2 linked regions of the Cricetulus griseus genome follow. The protein of the gene in region 1 interacts with the protein of each later gene in a biochemical or structural test. Links are inferred from orthologs where the notes say so. Each region holds a gene or a part of one and is shown on either strand. Other genes may lie near its edges. The genes, in order: Dyrk1b and Hnf1a.

Region 1 (9,603 bases):
CTTATTGGCAAAGGCTCCTTTGGCCAGGTGTGGGACTCCCCCACTCATCCAGTGTCTGGGTGCAGACAGCCACTAACCCTACCCACATTCCCTCCACCCCCAGAGTTCTGTCCTGGGCCAGTCTCTCAAGCCATTCAGTTTCCCTCTGTCTCAGTTTCTGTGGAAGTGTAAATAAGAAGACTCCACACTAGGGAACTCACAATTTTGTATCCAGTAGGAGGGCTGTGAGTGCTGGGCTGAGTGTCAGGTGGGCCTCCCACCTCCCCGGGTAACTCTCCATGTCTCGACAGGTGGTGAAAGCCTATGATCACCAGACCCAGGAGCTGGTGGCCATCAAGATCATCAAAAACAAAAAGGCCTTCCTGAACCAGGCACAGATTGAGCTGCGGTTGCTGGAGCTGATGAACCAGCATGACACAGAGATGAAGTACTACATAGGTGAGGCCTGCCCCTGGGTGAGCGCAGGGCGCCTGTGTGGAGATAGCGCCAATAAGGGTGGCTCTTCAGGCTCCTCCGCCTCAGGGGGTCTCCTGCTGTGGTCATGACTCTTCTTCTGTGCTTATTTAACAGTGGTCAGTGTTTATCCAGTGCTCGCTAAGGGCCAGACTGCTGCAAACATTTCCTGTGAATTACCTCACGCCAGCCCAGTGAGGGAGAGGGCAGTTCTGTGCACGTTAGAGATAGGAAAGTGAGGCACTCAGTGCTGTCACGTACATGAGGGGACAGTTTATACAGAACAGAATTAGAGATGTGTCCTCTGGAAAGGGACTGACAAATGGCTTAAAAGGACAGCCAGTGTCGCTTGCCACAAAGACAGATACAGCTAAAAGGAAAGCAGATTCGTTTGTTCATTTGGGTTTTTGTTGGTGGTGCCACTTCTTGGGGTTTTGTTTTGCCATACTGGGGATCAAGCCCAGTGCTTCATGTATAGTAGGCAAGTGCTTCTCCCCAGAACTGCGCCTCTGGACCTCTTTTTACTTAGGTATTTTGAGACAGAGTTACCTGACAAGCCTTGGGTTCATGCTCTTCCTCATCCCCATCTGAAGACCTTGGTCTTCATGCCCGCACACCAGGCCTGGCTCGGTGTTATGAATGAAATGAGGAAGCCTGGGATTGCTTTGAAGCTCTATTAGGAGATAACTGCATTTTATTTCCCTATGCTGGGCTGAGGCTTGAACCCAGAGCCTTGTGTTTGCTAGGCAAACAGGCTCCCACCCTTTGGCCATCCCTTAGCCTATGCCAGCGTAACCCTAAGGTTACTCTACCCTTTGTTTTGTTTTTTTTTTTTTGGCTTCACTGTGTACCAAGCTGGCCCTGAACTCGTCATCTTCCCATTTAGCTTCCCAAGCGCTGGCATTACACAGTCATGCTTACTATTCCCCGCTGGCAGAAACCTTCCTTTTGGTGACAAGTGGAAGGTCTGAGAGCCTCAAGAGATTTAGCATGCTTTGCGAGTCCGATGCACAGACACCTGAGGGCTCGCTGCAGTTTAGCAGAGGCGGTTACCGTGTGGCCCTGGGCCGCCTGTCCTCTCGCCTGTTTCTCATCTGTGGCCTGCTGTCCCCCACAGTGCACCTGAAGCGGCACTTCATGTTTCGAAATCATCTGTGCCTGGTGTTTGAGCTGCTGTCCTACAACCTGTACGACCTCCTGCGCAACACACACTTCCGCGGTGTCTCTCTGAACCTGACCCGGAAGCTGGCGCAGCAGCTCTGCACAGCGCTGCTCTTTCTGGCCACGCCCGAGCTCAGCATCATCCACTGCGACCTCAAGCCCGAGAACATCCTGCTCTGCAATCCTAAGCGCAGTGCCATCAAGATCGTGGACTTTGGCAGCTCCTGTCAGCTTGGCCAGCGGGTGCGGCTCCGACTCTGGGCAGGGCCCGTGTTTTGGGTGGAATGGGATAGGACAGCTTGGTTTTGACCCTGGAAGCTGATGAGAAGCTGAGAGATGACATTGGGCATAGGGAGGCCGGTCTGAAGGGAGGGGAGCAGAGATGAAGAGGGCAGAGGAGACTCAAGCAAGGAAGAGAAAGGGTGACCCCCAGAGCAGAGCCTGAACTCTGCTTTGCGGACTTGTGCTCTTCAGGTCACAGGTAGAGACCTTGAATTCGTGCAGCCTTGTGTGAGCAGGCAGAGGGGTCACTCACTACTAGTAGTAGTTCAGTATGGGATGGCCAGCCTCTCCTAAACAGCAGGGACCAGAGCTGGGAGCAGAGGCAGGGTTAAAGCAGGCCAATGAAGACTGGAAGCTGATGAGCAGGACAGCGACTGGTTTGTGCAGCATTGCTGAGAATCTAGAGGCTCCATCCTGTGTTCGAGCAGGGGCTTGTCTTCAGTTGAGTGTCCCGGGGGAACCAGCAGGGGAGCCAGTGCCCTGACTCCTGTCCCCTTCCCCAGATCTACCAGTACATCCAGAGCCGCTTCTACCGTTCCCCCGAGGTGCTCCTGGGCACACCCTATGACCTGGCCATCGACATGTGGTCCCTGGGCTGCATCCTTGTGGAGATGCACACCGGAGAGCCCCTCTTCAGCGGCTCCAATGAGGTGTGCCCCTGGAAGGGGTGTGCTGGAGGTGGAGGGGTGGAGCCTGGCCGCCCGGCGCCCCTGACCGCCACCTGCCCGCAGGTGGACCAGATGAGCCGCATTGTCGAGGTGTTGGGCATCCCGCCCGCGCCCATGCTGGAACAGGCACCCAAGGCTCGCAAGTACTTTGAGCGGCTGCCTGGGGGCGGCTGGACCCTACGAAGGACAAAGGAACTCAGGAAGGTGCGGCCCCTGCCCTGTGCCACTTCTCCCTCCCTGGGTGGCCCCTCACTCACACTTGGGGCTCCCCTCTCCCTGCGTCTTTCCCTGTCTTTCTCCCCCACCCCTTGTCTGTCCTTTGCTTCCTCCCCTGCCTATCCCGTCACCGTCCCACCCCACAGCTCTTGTTAGCTTCTCTCTTGCTCTCTTGTGCCTCTGTTTCCCCGTGTGTGTCTCCCTGCCCCTCCTGCCCACTGACGGCCACTCTCTTGCCCCCCCTCCCACCCCCTCCCTGCCAGGATTACCAGGGCCCCGGGACACGGCGGCTGCAGGAGGTGCTGGGCGTGCAGACGGGCGGGCCCGGGGGCCGGCGGGCGGGGGAGCCGGGCCACAGCCCCGCCGACTACCTCCGCTTCCAGGACCTGGTGCTGCGCATGCTGGAGTATGAGCCCGCCGCCCGCATCAGCCCTCTGGGCGCTCTGCAGCACGGCTTCTTCCGCCGCACGGCCGACGAGGCCACCAACACGGGCCCGGCAGGCAGCAGTGCCTCCACCTCGCCCGCACCCCTCGACACCTGCCCCTCCTCTAGCACCGCCAGCTCCATCTCCAGCTCTGGTGGGTGCCCACTGTCACGTGTGCCGCAGGGCCCAGCCTGGGATACCTCCCGCTGGGCCTCTGTCCTAGAGCCTTAGAGCTAAGCTACCAGATTCTGAGCTGCAGGGTGAGGTGGGGTGGGACAGTCCCACGTGATCCAGGCTTGAGAGTCAGCCCCTAAAGCTGCCTCTAGCCTCCCACACAACTCTGACCCAAGATCTCAAAATCAGGCTGTTAGAGCCTTCAAACCAGCTCTGGCCTCAGAGTCCCAGCATGGCGCCTAGATGTTGAGCAGACTGCCTGCATCTTACCGCCACTGCCCTCTTTTCTCCTTCCCGGTGCTTCCAGGAGGCTCCAGTGGCTCCTCCAGTGACAACAGGGCCTACCGCTACAGCAACCGATATTGTGGGGGACCTGGGCCCCCCATCACCGACTGTGAGATGAACAGCCCCCAGGTACTAGAGCTTGAAACCTTGGAGGTGGGTGGCAGGCGCTTAACACTTCAGGACCTTAACATCCTTCGGTTTTTTGTTTTTTTAAGGTTATACCCTCCCAGCCTCTGCGCCCCTGGGCAGGGGGTGATGTGCCCCACAAGACACATCAAGCCCCTACCTCTGCCTCGACATTGCCAGGGACTGGGGCCCAGTTACTCCCTCAACCCCGATGCCTTGGACGTCCCGCATCGCCAACGTCACCACCACCCCCGGAGCTGATGGATGTGAGCCTGGTGGGCAGCCCTCCAGACTGCTCCCCACCTCATCCAGCACCTGCCCCCCAGCACCCGGCTGCCTCATCACTCCGGACTCGGATGACGGGAGGTCGACCACCTCTCCCACCCCCGGATGACCCTGCCACTCTAGGGCCTCGCCTGAGCCTCCACGGTGTACCCCAGAGCACAGCAGCCAGCTCATGACCCTGCCCCCTCCCTGGGGCCCCTCCTGAAGCCATACCCCCTCCCCCCATCTGGGGGCCCTAGGCTCCCATCCTCATCTCTCCCCTTGACTGGACTTGCTGCTACCCAGCTGGGGTGGGTGAGGCCTGCACTGATTGGGGCCCAGGGCAGGGGGTCAAGGGAGAGGGGTTTTGGCCACGCCCTCCCCACTAAGACTGGACCCTTGGCCCCCTCTCCTCCCTTGTTTTCTATTTATTGTACCAAAGACAGTGGTGGTCCGGTAGAGGGGGAGATTCCCCCTCACCCCAGGACCCTAGGAGGGGGTGGGGGCAGGTAGGGGGAGATGGCCTTGCTCCTCCTTGCTGTACCCCCCAGTAAAGAGCTTTCTCACATGCCTGCCTGAGCGTTTGCAGGGCCTTGGCTCCCTCTCCTGACCCTCAGAGGCATGGTGGGGAAGGGTGCTTTGTGGTGTGGGTATTGGCCCTCCTGGGGACATCATCCTTCTTGGTGCAGGCATGGGGCAGCAGGAGGTTGGCGGGCTGTAGAACCATAGACACATCCTGGGTACAAGAATCCTAGCCCACATCTGCCTTTTCCGGGGTAAAAAGGTCCCTTTCTGGCCTGTTGCTGGAAATTGTAATGTTCTGCCCTCATCTGCCAGGGCTCCCATAGAGTCCACCCAGGAATGGCTTTTTTGTGTCGGGCAGGCACCCAGTAGGCTCTGGGTATACTCTACAGGCCTTCCTTGGTTACTATCCAGAGAGGCTATGGGGACAGATTTTACCCCACCTGTATCCAGTCCCATTCTGGAGTCATTGCAGAATATTGAGATTCTCGGGCAAAAAGACGCTCCCTGACTTCCAGGTAAGTGATTTTTGTTTCATGGCAATTTGGAACCAGCTGTCTTCCCACCCAGTCTTGCAAGAACTACCTGATTCAAACTGTTAAGAGCGCTTACAACGGGCAGGCGCGGTGACTCCTGGGAGATGGAGTTCTACAAGACCGGCTCTTTGCTCACTTTTCTTGGGGAACTACAAAGCCCAGAAGTCTCTGCGCACATGGTTGGGGACTGGTGTTCGATGAGCTGTCGGGCATTAGGGCCCGGATGTGGGCGGGTCAGTAGGAAGGGCGGCGATTGGATGACACGCCGGGGAGGAGTAGGGGCGTGGTCAGCCCGCTTTGCAGGGCCTGGGCGGGGCGGGGCGGGGCCGCGGTGAGCTAAGTCCTGGTGATCGATCATTTTGAGAATGCCGGTTAGGGTTTATCGGGTATCTTTGGTTATCTAGAGAGCTGGACTTGTTGGAAGTCCTCTCATTGTGAGGCACAATGAGAGGAAGATGGATAGTCTGGTCTTTCTGAAAATATGGAAGCAGGTTGCAGAAAAAGACTCGGGTCTGGCGTCTTGTGGCAGGCCCCCTAGGATGTGACAGGGCAGGGACGGGGCTGAGAAGGCCAGGAAAGGACAGGTGAGCTTTCCAGACGACTGGGTGGACAGGCTGAGTGGAGGGATGAGGTAGAGAGGGGCGGGGAAGGAAGGTCCCCAACACATAGAGAGCGCCCCCGTGCCCCCGTGCCCCCGTGCCCCCGTTGGTAGTCTCGGTTTGGTTTGGTTTGGTTTTTTATGTGTTTTTGTAGTGCTGGGGATGGAACCCAGGAAATCCCAGATGTTAGGCAAAGTGTTCTACAACCCAGCCTCCCAGGAAGAAGACTTTGAATGAACAGTTCTAGAAGCCAGGGACTACAGTGACCTCTCCAGGTTTGGGGATAGTGAAGGCAGATGGAAGTTAAATTACTTGCCTAGGATCACACGACTAGGAAGTAGGCTCAGGTTGGGGTGTGTGTGTGTGTGTGTGTGTGTGTGGTGTGTGTGTGTGTGTGTGTGTGTGTGTGTGTGTGTGTGTGTGTGTGTGTGTGTGTGTGCCAGTCATTGATTTAACAAAGTGTATTTGAGCCTGGAGACATCAGCAGGTCCAGATCCTGTAGGCCCTGTGAGGAATATGGAATGAGCCTGGGATGTTGGGATGTCATTTGTATCTGCGGTTGAGAATCATGCTCCAGGCTGACTGACTGACGACCTGACCCCTCCTTGGGTATCTCCAAGGTGCTCTCATAGTTCAAACAGCTGAATACGTGGCATCCTCCTTGGTCTTCCTGCCATCACCATCTCCCCCCCCCCCCCCATGTAACCAAAGAAACTCTGAGCACCTGATTGTCCCTCCCTGCTGAGACTCCTCCTGGACTCCATCTCACTCAGGGTAAAAGCCCAAGTCCTTCCTGTGACCTGCGGGGCCTTCACCATCTGCCTCTCCTCCAGCACACTAGCCTCAGGGCCTTGGTGCTTGGTGTTCTCTTTGCCTGGACCATTGACCACTCTTCTGAATTATACTGCTAATGTCCCTGTCCATTTTCCCTTCAACATCTTCCTTATGTCAGTCATATCGCTGGCACATGCTGGAATTTATCTTGTCACCTGCCTCCCGTTCTGGGAGCCCTTGGACTTCTTGGAAGCAAGCATTTGGGTCACTTTATGCTTCTCTCCCACACAGAAGGATATGTGGCATGTAGCAGGGCTCACTATCAGATGAGCGCTTGCAGAGCGTAGATCTGGATTCCAGCCTCCTGGGATTCTACTCGCCCCCTTCCGTACAACTCTGAGAGCTCATTTCCGAGAGCTCAAGACAGTCAACAGGTATTTTGCCTCTGCAGTACACAAAGTGGAGACACAGCAGAGAAGAAGGGCTAGCCCTATAGCATCCCTGCTGTAAAGAACTCAGTCTCAAGGTGGGGGTTCAGTCAGGTAGATAGCACAGCAATGAGCAACAGAAGTGACCAGGATCAAGAGCATTGAAGGAACACTTGATAGGCACTTCTAATCTGGCTCCAAGGAAGCGATTCCAGACCATGGGGTTAGCATCAGCTCTATTCAGAGAGGAGTGTGGACGTGGTGATTTTCACCTCGAGGCTGAGCTGGAACAGGGAGCATACCGAGCGTCCCCACTGCAGAGAGTAGTGGGAGAATTAAACACTGGGACAGAGAGGAAGGTTAGCTGTGTTGGGATTTTGGTTTGGTTTGGTTTAGATTTATTTATTTTATGTGTGTGAGTATTTTGCCTGTATGTATGTCTGCACCATGAGCATGCCTGGTGCCCACAGAGGTCAGAAGAGGGCATTCAGTCGCCTAAAACTGGAGTTAGGGATAGTTGTGGACCATTTTGTGGGTGCTAGGAACTGAACTCAGGTCCTGAGGAAGAACCACTGAGCCATCTCCCCAGGCCTAGATAGATATTTTTAAAGGTTCCACTGATGGGTGTTATAATGGCTACCTTTAAAGACAGTCCCCATTCTGCTGTTTCTGCTCAAGATGGGGAATCTCCTTCCTCTTAAGTAATGGCTGAGCCAGTAATTTGATCAGCACAAGAAGAGACGCTGAGCCCAGTGACCTTCACAGGTTCGACGGCCTCTCCGTTCACCCCTGGTGCTCTGACTCCGTTATAGAGAGAGGTCGAGCATCTGCCCCACCCATTTGAGCTGTGCCAGCTATGTGCATGGCATCTGGGGCTCTTCTAGCCCAGCTGACACTACCCTGAGTCTTCCTCAGGCCACTCTCCCTGAGCTGTGTCCATGTTCCAGAATCATGAAAGAAACAATTGAGATTTCATGACACCGTTGGAGGATGATTTGTTACTCAGCAAAAGCTGACTGAAGTAAGGCAGCATTTTCAAAATCACACGGTGGTGAGACTGTGTAATTATGGGATAACTAATTGAATTCTCACAGCTAAATAGTATTGTCGTACCCACCCTCCGGATGAAGAATCAAAGCACAGAGATGTCACTGAAGCGTTGCAAGGCACCGTACCTGGAGTTCATCCTGAGTTCTCAGGCGTTAATATCAGCACTGAGCTTGTCAGAATTCAGGTCTTCATAGATGTTGACGAGGTGGTGGGCTGGTGAGTAGAAGAATTCTTAAGCAGCTTCTAGGAGTGTTGTTCTAGGCCATCTCCTGGGCAGGATGGGGAGAGCAATCCGTCTTTGGTGGTGGAGTGCCATGGAGTCAGCTTGCTTCTGAGATGCTCACAGGGAATCCAGCAGGTGGCTGTAGAGCCAAGTCAGATGGAGCCTCCTGTTACTAGGAAGCCACGATGTCCTAGTTGAGTCCTGGGTCCTGTTGGCTGCTTGTTGATTCATCCAGTCGCAGGCACCACTTTGTGAGCACTGTTGGGGTCCCAGTGCTACAGCAGCAAACGGGTGCCCCTGTCGTTCAAAGCATGGGTCCATGGCCAAGGGAGACGACAGCCATGGACCCTGAGAGCTGGAGACAGAGATAGTAATTGTAAGGATGACCTGGAGAAAAACGTGAGAGGACCAGGCCAAAAGGGGGGAAGCCGTGTATTCTTAAAGGAAAGACAGCCCTGTCAGGAAAATAAAGCCAGATCAAAGCCCCAAGGCATGCTTGGTGTGTTAGAGAAACTGGACAGGAGTGATGGGGACAAGGGCAGGGGTCCACAAGCAGCTGTGATGAGGACTTGACTTGGGTGCCAAGTAGCGTGGAAAGCATCAGTCCCTTTGAGCTAGTGTGGTGAGCAATAACGAGCTCAAGGGCCTCCTCTGACAGCCACGTGGCCGGAGGCATGGAGCATGCCAGGGGGACATTGCAGCTGGCTTTGATGTCTGTGACTTGGCCCTAGAGGTAGCAGGACAAGTGGTCCAGTGTGGGTCACAAGGTGAGAAGTCCAAGGCAGCCTGAGAGGAGGGAGAGAGAAGCGTGCTGGCCGCTGGCCGTGAAGAAGAGGCGGGGGAGGCACATTTGAGAATGGTCACCGTATTGCTAACGTGAGAGCCCCGAGAGATGACAGAGTGGAGCAGATTGAAGTGGGCATAAGAATAGGAGCGGGGAGCCCAGGACTGAAAGGCACAGCCATCTCTGTGTGTGGTGATTGGCATGGACCAGGGCACTGTGTGAAAGCAGGCGCTGAGCAGTCTCAGTAGTGTTGAATTCAGGACACACACACACACACACACACACACACACACACACACACACACACACACACACACACACACACACACACACACACACACACACACAAGCACGCACTCACACACGCGCACATACATACCACCCTCACCTCCTCCCCCCATCTCATGGGTTGATCCAGGATCTCCTGCCTCCAGGCTTGAGGCTCCCACCTCTCGGCTTCTACAGCTTCTTCTCTGTTCTGGTTCCAGTGGCTAATTACCCTTGCAGGAACTCTGCCCCAACCCTCTGTGGCCTTCCTGCTCATTTCCCCACAGCTCCTCTATTCTTGGTCACAAATCTGCCAGCAGGAGTTGAATTGCAGGGACCAGGAGTACAGCTCTACTGGACCTTCTG
Region 2 (10,750 bases), on another chromosome or scaffold:
GGGAGGAGGGGTGAGGTTCCAAGAAGCCCCTGAACATGGGGTGAGGGAGAAGGCAGGGAGGAGTCTACAGGGGGGGTCCCCTGGGATGAGGAATATTCTTGAGCCCCGGCTATATCAGCACGGGACAAGATTTCACTTTCCTGAACCAAAGCTTTGTCACAGGTGGAGCCAGGGCCCAAATGAACTGTACTTCCGTACTTCCGGGGTTTACGGAGCCGGAGCGGCTCCCAGTGACCCCTGGTAGCCATTCATCCTTTTTAATTTGCAGTTTAGATTACTCCGTCCACCTTCTTTGCACCCCTGCCAGTCTCATAACTGCTGTTAACAGGAGGAGTCTCAACCTTCCCAAAGCTGCCACCCTTTAATACAGTTCCCCATGGGGTGACCTCCAATCATAAAATCATGCTCACTGCTACTTCTTAGCTGTAATTTTGCTACTGTTATGAATAGTCACGTAACTCTCTGTGAAAGCTGTCACGTGGCCTTGCCTCTGCGAAGCTCATTCTCCAGGCTTTGGGGTGTGAGGCAGAGCTGAAGTTGAGGAGGGAACTGCTGGGAGGAAGACTGCAGGGCTGGCTTCAGAGTGCTGGGGGCTGGTCCTCTGTGTCACTGAGTTCCAAACAGGCAAACTCAACCAGTTGGGGACTGAAAATAACTTGTTTAATTGCTCTGCACTGAATGTGTATTGATTGTTTTTTGTGTTTTGCTTTTTTTCAAGACAGGGTTTCTCTGTCTATCCCTGGCCATCCTAGAACTCACTCTATAGACCAGGCTGACCTCGAACTCACTGAGACATTCCTGCCTCTGCCTCCTGAGTGCTGGGATTAAAGGCGTGTGACACCAACACCCGGCAAGATTGTTTTTTTTTTTTTTTTCTCGTCACTACTTTTTAAACACTAGGTAAAACGGTCATCTGGTGGGACCACCGTTGTAACCTGAGCTGACTAAAGTAGATGGAGGGTATGTGCAGGCTCTATGCTAGTCCTAGCCCACTCCTTTTACTTTTTGAGACAGAATTGCATTGTGCAGGCCCATTTGGCCTGCAACTCGGTATGTAGACCAGCCTGCCTTGAACTCAGAGATCTGCCTGTCTCTGCCTCCTAAGGGCCGGGATTAAAGGTGTGTGCCACCACTGCCCAGCTATAGGCCAATCTTACGGAGGCATTTTCTCAATTTGTGGTTTCCCTCTTCTCAGATAACTCTAATTTTTGTTAAGTCGTCAAAACAAACAAACAAACACCCCCCAAAACCCCAAACAACCAAACAGGTTGCCATCCATCTACTGAAGTAATCATCTATCCAGCCATCCAGCCAGCCAGCCTCATCCACCCACTCATTCACTCCTGCATCATCCATGGCATACTCTGTGTCTAGCCATCCGGGATTCTGGGAACCAGACAGTTCTCCCACCCTTAACAGTGGTTTAAAACTCACTTAAGGAGACCTGTGAGATGGCTCAGCTGGCAAAAGCACTTGTTGCAGAAACCTGTGGCTTGAGTTCCATCTGCAGGACCCATGTAAAGGTGAAAGGAGAAAACTGACCTACACACATGTGCATATGCACGCATGTATGTGCACACACCCACACTGGTGAGCAAGTCCAGAAGAGGGGAGGGACTTTGAGGAGTCATAGGTAAAGGTCTTCCCTATTTGGCTGGCACAGCTTCCGGTGGGAATCTGGTCATGTGTACATGTGTCCTAGTATGGAACCTGAGCACAGGTCCTACCCACAGAGCAGGGCCCTATTCCACTAGTCCTGGGGACCCGGCCTCACCTGAGGTGTCAGGAAGGGCCACTGAGCAGACCGTGTCCTTGCTCCCTTCCAGAGAGGACCCATGGCGCGTGGCAAAGATGGTCAAGTCCTATTTGCAGCAGCACAACATCCCGCAGCGGGAGGTGGTCGACACTACGGGTCTCAACCAGTCCCACCTGTCGCAGCACCTGAACAAGGGCACCCCCATGAAGACGCAGAAGCGGGCCGCTCTGTACACCTGGTACGTCCGCAAGCAGCGAGAGGTGGCTCAGCGTAAGTAATGACCCCAGCCTGTGTCCTCCCTGGCAGGTGGGGTGGGAATGTCGCCACCCCCATCGTACAGACAAGTGAGACTGAGAGGGAGCCAGAAGGATGTCCCCAAATTTACTGCCCACTCTGCGCAAGGCACCAAGGGAAGGGAGCCGGATTGGTCCCAGGGATCTACAGATACACCTACTGGATCTCTCGTTCCGGGAAACTGAGAGAGATCACTATGATAGAGTGAGGCGTGGGTTACATATGCTAACAACAAAACCCAGCCATAGTATTAATTGAGCACTTGCTGTGTGCTGGGCTTAGTGCAGAGGAAAATGATGAGCAGGCTGTGGAGGGGAGAGAAAGCTCCTCTGTCTCAGAGAGCCGAGGTTTTGGGATGGTCCCGTGAGATTCATGACCATTGCTGAGGTCCTAAAGTGTCCCTGTGGAGGAATAAAGAGGGTGTCGCAATCAAGAGGGAACAGCATGAGAAGCTCAGACGCTATTACTTAAGGAATGGTTCTCAGCCTTCCTAACTCAGCGACCCTTTAATGCAATTCCACATTTTGTGGTGACCCCAACCGTAAAATTACTTCATTGCTACTTCATAACTTTAACTTTGCTACTGTTATGAATCATAATGTAAATCTATGATATGAAGCCCCTGTGGGGTTGTGACCCACTGGTTGAGAACTGCTGACTTAAGAGACTGAAGAGCTTTTCTCTCCACCCCCACATGTCTCTCTCTGATACTTGTGATTAAACACAAAGCCTCACACACGTTACATGTGTGCTCTACCATGCACAGAGCTAAGCTCCCAGCCCTCTGTTTACTTTCTGAGACAGGGGCTCACTATGTAGCCCAGGTTGGTCTTGAACCTGTGATCTTGCTGACTCAGACTCCCAAGTGCTAGGATGGTAAGTGTGTTCTACTACATTCAACTTGGTATACTCTTTCTAAGGTTTCTAATAGTTGACTGTTAATGGGAGATATCGTTATTTGTTTAACTAGCCACTCACTAAGGGACTTTATTTATTTTGTTTTTTTTTTTGTTTTGTTTTATTTTTTTTTTTTTGAGACAGGGCTTCTCTCTGTAGCTTTGGAGCCTGTCCTGGCACTCACTCTATAGTCTCGAACTCACAGAGATCCACCTGCCTCTGCCTCCCGAGTGCCCAGATTAAAGGTGTGCATTTCCACCACCTGGCTGACATTATTCTTTTTTGGATTGCTTCTGATCTTTTGATCCTGTGAATAGGACTGCTCTGAACATTTTCACTCAGGCTTTTTGCTAAAGGTGTACACACAATTCTACTTAGTGGGTCTTATTAGACCCTGCCCAATCGTTGTTTTGCACTCCAACCAGCAGGGTCTCTGCATCCCAGGTGCTTCAGAATCTTTGTCCAACACTTGTTAATGTGCATCTTTCTCATTTTTAACCATGTTGTACACATGGTAGTATTATATTGTGCTTTTCTTTTTGGTCTTTTTTTTGTATTTTTTTGTTGTTGTTGTTTTCGAGACAGGGTTTCTCTGTGCAGCAATCTTGGCTGTCCTGGAACTCATGCTGTAGACTAGGCTGGCCTTGAACTCACAGAGATCCACTTGCCTCTTGAGTGCTGGGGTTTAAAGGCATGCACCACTACTGCCTGGCTGTATTGTGTTTTTAAGTTTAATTTTTTTTTTTGGTAACTCATCACACTGATCTTATCATATAGTTATTGGAATTCATCTTTAAGAAGTATATATTCACGAGTGGTGGTGGCACATGCTTTTAATCCCAGCACTGGGGAGACAGAGGCAGGTGGCTAGCTGTGAGTTGGAGACCAGCCTGATCTATATACCAAGTTCTAGGACAGACAGAATTACAAAGTGAGATGATGTATCAAGAAAAAACAAATGCTACTCTTCCTGAGGACTCAAGTTCAATTCCCAGCACCCACATTAGGTGTTTTACAGTCATCTGAAACACCCTTTTCAGCCCTCTGTCAGCACCCACATACACATGACACTCACACACAACAAATATTAAAAATAAAGTGTTTCAGGTCAAGCCACAGTGTCTGGTACCTCAGGTCTGATTGGTGGCTCCTGCCATCCTGTGGACAGAATTAAGATGGTGACCTCAGAGGCAATGTGAGTGGGTGTGAATAGGCCACAGCTGTGGAGAATGTGGTACTCCAGGCCAAGTTAATGAATTGTTGTTTTGTTCATTTGTTAAGACAGGGTCTCTCTGTGTAGACCTAGCTGACCTGGAATTCAGTATGCAAAGCAGGCTGGCCTTGAACTCACAGAGCTCTGCCTGCCTCTGCCTCTTGAGTGCTGGGATTTATAGCACCAAGTCCTCCTATAGCAGAAGGTGGGCCTTGGCTTTGGGTTAGCCTCAAGACTTCCTGCATGCTAGGCAAGCTCTCCACTAAATGACTCACAGCTCCAGTCCAGATTAGATTATTTCAGTTTTAGCTGCCAACTGCTCTGTTTTGGCAACAGAAAGACAGAGGAAGGGGACTGGTCAGGTGAGCTGACCGTGAAGGTGGACACGATCAATGCCCCACTTACCACTCTCTGTCCCGACAGAATTCACCCACGCAGGGCAGGGGGGACTGATCGAAGAGCCCACGGGTGATGAGCTGCCAACCAAAAAGGGAAGGAGGAACCGATTCAAGTGGGGCCCAGCATCCCAGCAGATCCTGTTCCAAGCCTATGAGAGGCAGAAGAACCCCAGCAAGGAAGAGCGGGAGACCTTGGTGGAGGAGTGCAATAGGTAGGGTGGTGGGCTAGCCAGGGCTAAGGCTAAGCTGGTGTCTTAGGGAAGGGAAGGTGTCTCTGTATCCCCGGTGGAGCTGGCCAGTCCTTGAGAACTTTTGTTGGTAGAGTTTCCTTCCCTCCTGGTCCCACCACGCTTCAGCACCAAATAAGCACACAGATATTAATTATAAAACTATTGGCCGGTGGCTCAGGCTTCTTACTGGCTAGCTCTGTCTTAATTATTAACCCATAACTACTAATCTATGTATTTCTACATGGTCTTATCTTACCAGATAAGGTGTATCCTATCCTCCTGGTCTCTATATGATATCCCCTTTTGTGGTCTCTCTCTGCCTACCTTTCCCAGAATTCTCCTTGTCTCCTAGTCCCGTCTATCTTCCTGCCTCTATTGGCCAAACAGCATTTCATTCATCAACCAATATATATATACAGAGAAATATATATACAGAAGGACAAAGGGCCGAGGGACCTAGCAGGACAAGAAAACTCTAGCAACAAACTCTTGCTCTCCATTGAGAGGAGTCAGTTCCTCCTATTGCTTTGAATTGGATTCTCAGCTTCCCCCACCCATCCGAGCAACACTTTAGGGGGTCACTTATCTCCCATCATCTCCTCTACAACCCTCTGGATATTTTGTTCACATTGTGACTGAGGTTGGAGAGGCAAAGTCCCTTGTCCATCAGGACTAGTATTGTAATCCAGGCCTGGGTGGACTCCACCTCTCAGCACTGTTCTCCCTCCTCCAAGCCTGGCCTGGAGGCTCATGGGTACCATCTTTGCAGGGCTGAGTGCATCCAGAGGGGGGTGTCACCATCACAGGCACAGGGGCTAGGCTCCAACCTTGTCACGGAGGTGCGTGTCTACAACTGGTTTGCCAACCGGCGCAAGGAAGAAGCCTTTCGGCACAAGCTGGCCATGGACACATACAATGGACCCCCACCAGGCCCAGGCCCAGGCCCTGCACTGACTGCTCACAGCTCCCCTGGCCTGCCCACATCTGCCCTCTCCCCCAGTAAGGTCCACGGTGAGTACTGTGGGGAGGGAAGTTGGGATAGGAAGTAAGGAGAAAAAGTGGGTGGGCAGAAGGGCTGGAGGGATTTCCCTGGTGGTGGCAACCACCCCCAAATTCTCTGTACTCCCCGCTCCACTGTGCCTAACTAACTCTGTTCATTCTGTCTGTGCTCCACGGCAGCCCCCACCCGCTACACCCACCTTACTTCGTCCACTCCATGTCCCCCCTTCTGCTTTGTTTCCTCCCACAATCTTCCTTCCATCCTCCTCCTCCTCTCTCTCTCTCTCTCTCTCTCTCTCTCTCTCTCTCTCTCTCTCCTCACTCCAGTTCGCACTGTGCACCCCATCCACTTCATTCAGCGGGATCCACACTGCTTCACGCCATTCTGCGCACTCACTAACTCCGCATCCATGCTACTCCCACCCTCTGTAGTCAACCCAACTGGCCCTCCGGTTACTTCAGTGCAACACAACCACTTGGGACCTATCCATTCCAACTGTTTCCGTTCAACTAGCTCGTGTTCAGATCATGGTCTAATCCAGCCATTCAGTCTGGCAGACTAATTCCTGGGATCCAGTTCATTATGGATAGTACACCCTTGGTGTCTGGGAATTGGAGCCAGGACTCTTGTAGGCACCTCCTATGTCTTTCCTTCTCACCCATGCACATCCTACTGTATACTGAATCATTTCTGGAGGACTTATGATACCCAATGCAGTGTAATTACAATGTAGACAGTTATATTGCACTGACTGAGGACTAGTGACAAGAAAAAAAACCTGCATGCCATCAGTGCAAATGTGGAATTTCTTTTTCAAATATCCAGCAGTTGACTGAATCTGAGGTTGCAGCACCTGTGGATAAGGGGCCGGCTGTGAAGCTCAATTCAATTTAGTCCAATTCAATTGGATTCTGATCAGATCAGCAAAAGCTCAATCTAGTTCAACTCAGTTCTGGCCCCATTTAAGGAGACTTAATTTAATTTGGCCAATTGCAGTCCATTCTGCTCAACTCAGTTCATTTCCATTTAGTTCTTATGAGCCACATGCAGCTCAGTCCCATTGTTCTTTGAGTGTCTTCTACAGAGGGGGACACACCAGGCAGTGGGGGACACAGGACCATGAATTAAAAGAGCTGGAAGCAGCTAGCACAGGAGGAAAGATGAGGTGCCAAAAAAAAAAAAAAAAAAAAAAAAAACAGTAGGCTCTGGTGTGGTGAGGTCTGTGGGACAGAAGAGGACAGGAAAGTGGGGTGCTGAGGCTAGATATTGCTCCCCACTCTAGGTGTGCGGTATGGACAGCCTGCAACCAGTGAGGCAGCCGAGGTGCCCTCTAGCAGCGGTGGTTCCTTAGTGACAGTGTCTGCAGCCTTACACCAAGTGTCCCCTACAGGCCTGGAGCCCAGCAGCAGCCTGCTGAGCACTGAGGCCAAGCTGGTGAGTGAGCCGCTCCACCCTGTGTGGAATCCCCTCCTAGCCCCATTTTCTATGGCTAGGAGACAGTGTGGGGACATTCCAACTCAACTTGACTTACCCTCACAGGTCTCAGCCACTGGGGGTCCCCTGCCTCCAGTCAGCACCCTGACAGCACTGCACAGCTTGGAGCAGACATCTCCAGGTCTCAACCAGCAGCCGCAGAACCTTATCATGGCTTCACTGCCTGGTGTCATGACCATTGGACCTGGGGAGCCTGCCTCCCTGGGCCCCACATTCACTAACACAGGCGCCTCTACCCTGGTCATTGGTAAGCAGGTGGGGGTGATGGGAACCCCTGTGTCTCCTGCAGTCTGGGATCTGGAAAGAGCCACAGGGGTTCATCCATCCATCCATCCATCCATCCATCCATCCATCCATCCATCATCCATCCATCCAACACTTGAGTGCCTGTGGCCAGGCACCCATGATCCCAGACAGTGAATCAAACAGAACTAATAAGCACAGTGTAGAAAATACACTGAAATCATAGTCTGAGAAGACCACAGGGTAAGGGTGTGTGTGTGTGATGTTTTCTAGACTTTTTTTTTTTTTAAGTTGCAAACCCTTTATATGCAGGAACTACTGCTCAATATCTAAAACATAGGAAGCTGCTAAGAAGAGGGGAGCAGAGAGTGAAGCCCCGGGAGCTTTGCCACTGCTGTGGGCTCCAGGGAAGCCAGCTTGACAACCTCTAATCTACTCCCAGCTTGCCTTTCCCACCAGGCCAGATGAGGAACTAAAGGCCACTAGTTCATGTTCATGGCCATTCCTACTGCAGGGCTGTTTCTCAGCCCCTCCCCTCCCTCTTTTTTTTTTTTTTCCGGAGACAGGGTTTCTTTGTGTAGCTTTGGAGCCTATCCTGGCACTCGCTCTGGAGACCAGGCTGGCCTCGAACTCACAGAGATCAACCTGCCTCTGCCTCCTGAGTGCTGGGATTAAAGGTGTGCGCCACCAACGCCCGGCCCCCCTCTCTCTTTTAATCCACAAGCCCTGGGAAGGAGGAATAGTGTCCCTCAGAGGGTCTGGGCTGGGTCTAGGGAGGACACAGGGTGGCAGGTATGAGGCTTGGCTGACTCCTGCCTGTCCCACACTAGGTCTGGCCTCCACTCAGGCACAGAGTGTGCCTGTCATCAACAGCATGGGCAGCAGCCTGACTACCCTGCAGCCGGTCCAGTTCTCCCAGCCACTGCACCCCTCCTACCAGCAGCCACTCATGCCCCCTGTACAGAGCCATGTGGCCCAGAGCCCCTTCATGGCCACCATGGCCCAGCTGCAGAGCCCCCACGGTGAGCATCCCTCACATTGGTCTAGGGGAGGTGGGTTAGAGGTTGCCTGTGGGTAGGCTCAAGACAGGGCAGGTAGCAGGTGCTGTGGTCTGCTTGTGTGTGGTGCAGGTATCTAGGGGCCACCAACCTGCTTCTGTATGTGCACAAGAGCTCTTGTGAACTTTTCAATGTGTGCAATGCTGGTGTCCACCAGTCACGTTCCCAGGTTTGTTTGTCTGAGTGCTGGGATGCAGGCCACAGCCTATTATCTGAAACCCTTGGGGCTATGCACTCTTCAGTTTATGACTTTGCCACTTTTAGAAAGTGGATATATCAAGTGTTACATATTACTCCCAGTACAGCATGGGCAGCGCCTATCCACAGAGCACTGTTATTCCTGAAATAAAAGATGGGACTACATGCAGTAGATTAAAGATTTCATGCAGGGTTTGTGGGGAAACAGCTCAGTCAGTAAAGTCATGAAGACACATTCTTCAGAAGCCACGGGGCATGGCAGTGTGTGCTTCTTGTAACTCCAGAGCTGACAAAGTAGATACTGACTGATGATCCCTGGGGCCCATGCCAGCCAGTCTAGCCTCTTGGTGAGCTCCAGGCCAGTGAGAGAGCTGTCTCAAAAAACAGGGTGGCACACACACACACACACACACACACACACACACACACACACACACACACACACACAGAGCCTCACATAAGGCTGCCCACCAAATGGGCCATGGGGCCAAACTTATGCAATGCTTTGGCTTCAGGCCTTTTGGACTTCAGCATAGAGACAGGAGCTATGGACTTGGGGACTTGTGTGAGGCTGAAACTGAATCTCTGTGTGGGTGCCCTGCTTTTAGCTGAGTTCCTAGAAGAGCATGCCATTACTATGTGCTAGGCGAGCGAGCATTCAAGTCTCCTGGAAAGTCTACAGGTGAAACTTTGTTTCATATTGGAGTTGTCCTGGAGATAGAGGTATTGCTAGTCTCTGCCCTGCTCACCTAGATGGAGGCCACCAGTCTTTCATTCAGAGGCCTGCTTTTGGTACAATGGCACCTGCACATCCTGCTACAGCACCTGTGCATGCTACTGTGGTCCCTTTGCTTAGTATAACATACTGAGCACAGCACTAGGCAGCACCTGCACTTGTTCCACCTACGTTTACTGCAGCAGAATTCATGTCTAATACATCACCTGTATTTGGTGCAGGCCCACTGCGCCTCTGCTCCTCATTTGCTTATACATATCTGGGTTGTATTCCATCTAGGGCAGTGGGGGAACAAACACACAATGAGCTGGAGTTGATGCTGGGCCTTCGCCTGCAGCTCCCAATCTGGCTTAGCTGAGCAGGCCTCTATAATGGGAAGATAGGGGGTCTGTCTCTCCTATCTGGATCCCCAAGCACCACCCCATCACGGTAACATCAGGCCCCATGCCCACTTCCCACAGATGCTCAGTCTTGAGCCATATCTGTGTCCTCTCCTCCCAGCCCTCTACAGCCACAAGCCTGAGGTGGCCCAGTACACACACACAAGCCTGCTTCCGCAGACCATGCTGATCACAGACACCAACCTCAGTGCCCTTGCCAGCCTCACGCCCACCAAGCAGGTAAGGCCCTGTGTCCTGAATCCCTGCCCGGAGCCCCATACCTCTATGCCATGGGCTCAGGGCATTACCCTGGTTCTCCAGGTCTTCACCTCAGACACAGAGGGCTCCAGTGAGCCTGGGCTTCATGAACCATCGTCTCCAGCCACCACCATCCACATCCCCAGCCAGGACCCATCGAGCATCCAGCACCTGCAGCCGGCCCACCGGCTCAGCACCAGTCCCACCGGTGAGCTATCTGCTGTCTCCCAGTAGGATAAGGTGGTGTGTTCAATGATGGAGTGAGGGTGGATGGGGGGGGGAGTGGGGCTTCCCAAATGGAGGTCAGAGGTTGGTTCTCTCTCCACCATGTGGGTCCCAAGGATTGAACTGAGGTCATCAGCTATTTTACCCTTTCACCTACCCTGAAGCATTCTTACCCACAATGCCATCTCCCCAGGGTTCTATGTAGTCTTTGAACGAGCAGCCAGCATTATAAATTCAGCTTTTGCTGGGCGGTGGTGGTGCACACCTTTAATCCCAGCGCTCAGGAGGCAGAGGCAGGGGGTTCTCTTTGAGACCAGCCTGGTCTACAAAGTGAGTTCCAGGACAGCCAGGGCTGTTACAGAAAGAAAGC

What was found.
Region 2: of the proteins of Dyrk1b (region 1) and Hnf1a, one has a biochemical effect on the other in vitro, tested with the Homo sapiens proteins (2 studies listed by IntAct, with this or other methods). The link is inferred for Cricetulus griseus from reciprocal best matches to the Homo sapiens genes DYRK1B and HNF1A.

Annotation. Positions count from the first base shown.
Region 1 is NC_048602.1:7,908,242-7,917,844, reverse strand, and holds the end of Dyrk1b (dual specificity tyrosine-phosphorylation-regulated kinase 1B), read left to right. Parts: coding exon 1-27; intron 28-290; coding exon 291-438; intron 439-1,570; coding exon 1,571-1,857; intron 1,858-2,399; coding exon 2,400-2,546; intron 2,547-2,627; coding exon 2,628-2,768; intron 2,769-3,043; coding exon 3,044-3,359; intron 3,360-3,686; coding exon 3,687-3,793; intron 3,794-3,879; coding exon 3,880-4,251; 3' UTR 4,252-4,622; downstream 4,623-9,603.
Region 2 is NC_048597.1:94,535,904-94,546,653, reverse strand, and holds part of Hnf1a (hepatocyte nuclear factor 1-alpha), read left to right. Parts: intron 1-1,826; coding exon 1,827-2,026; intron 2,027-4,583; coding exon 4,584-4,770; intron 4,771-5,557; coding exon 5,558-5,799; intron 5,800-7,070; coding exon 7,071-7,222; intron 7,223-7,327; coding exon 7,328-7,529; intron 7,530-8,355; coding exon 8,356-8,547; intron 8,548-10,018; coding exon 10,019-10,137; intron 10,138-10,197; coding exon 10,198-10,363; intron 10,364-10,750. UniProt on the Homo sapiens protein: Transcriptional activator that regulates the tissue specific expression of multiple genes, especially in pancreatic islet cells and in liver. Binds to the inverted palindrome 5'-GTTAATNATTAAC-3'.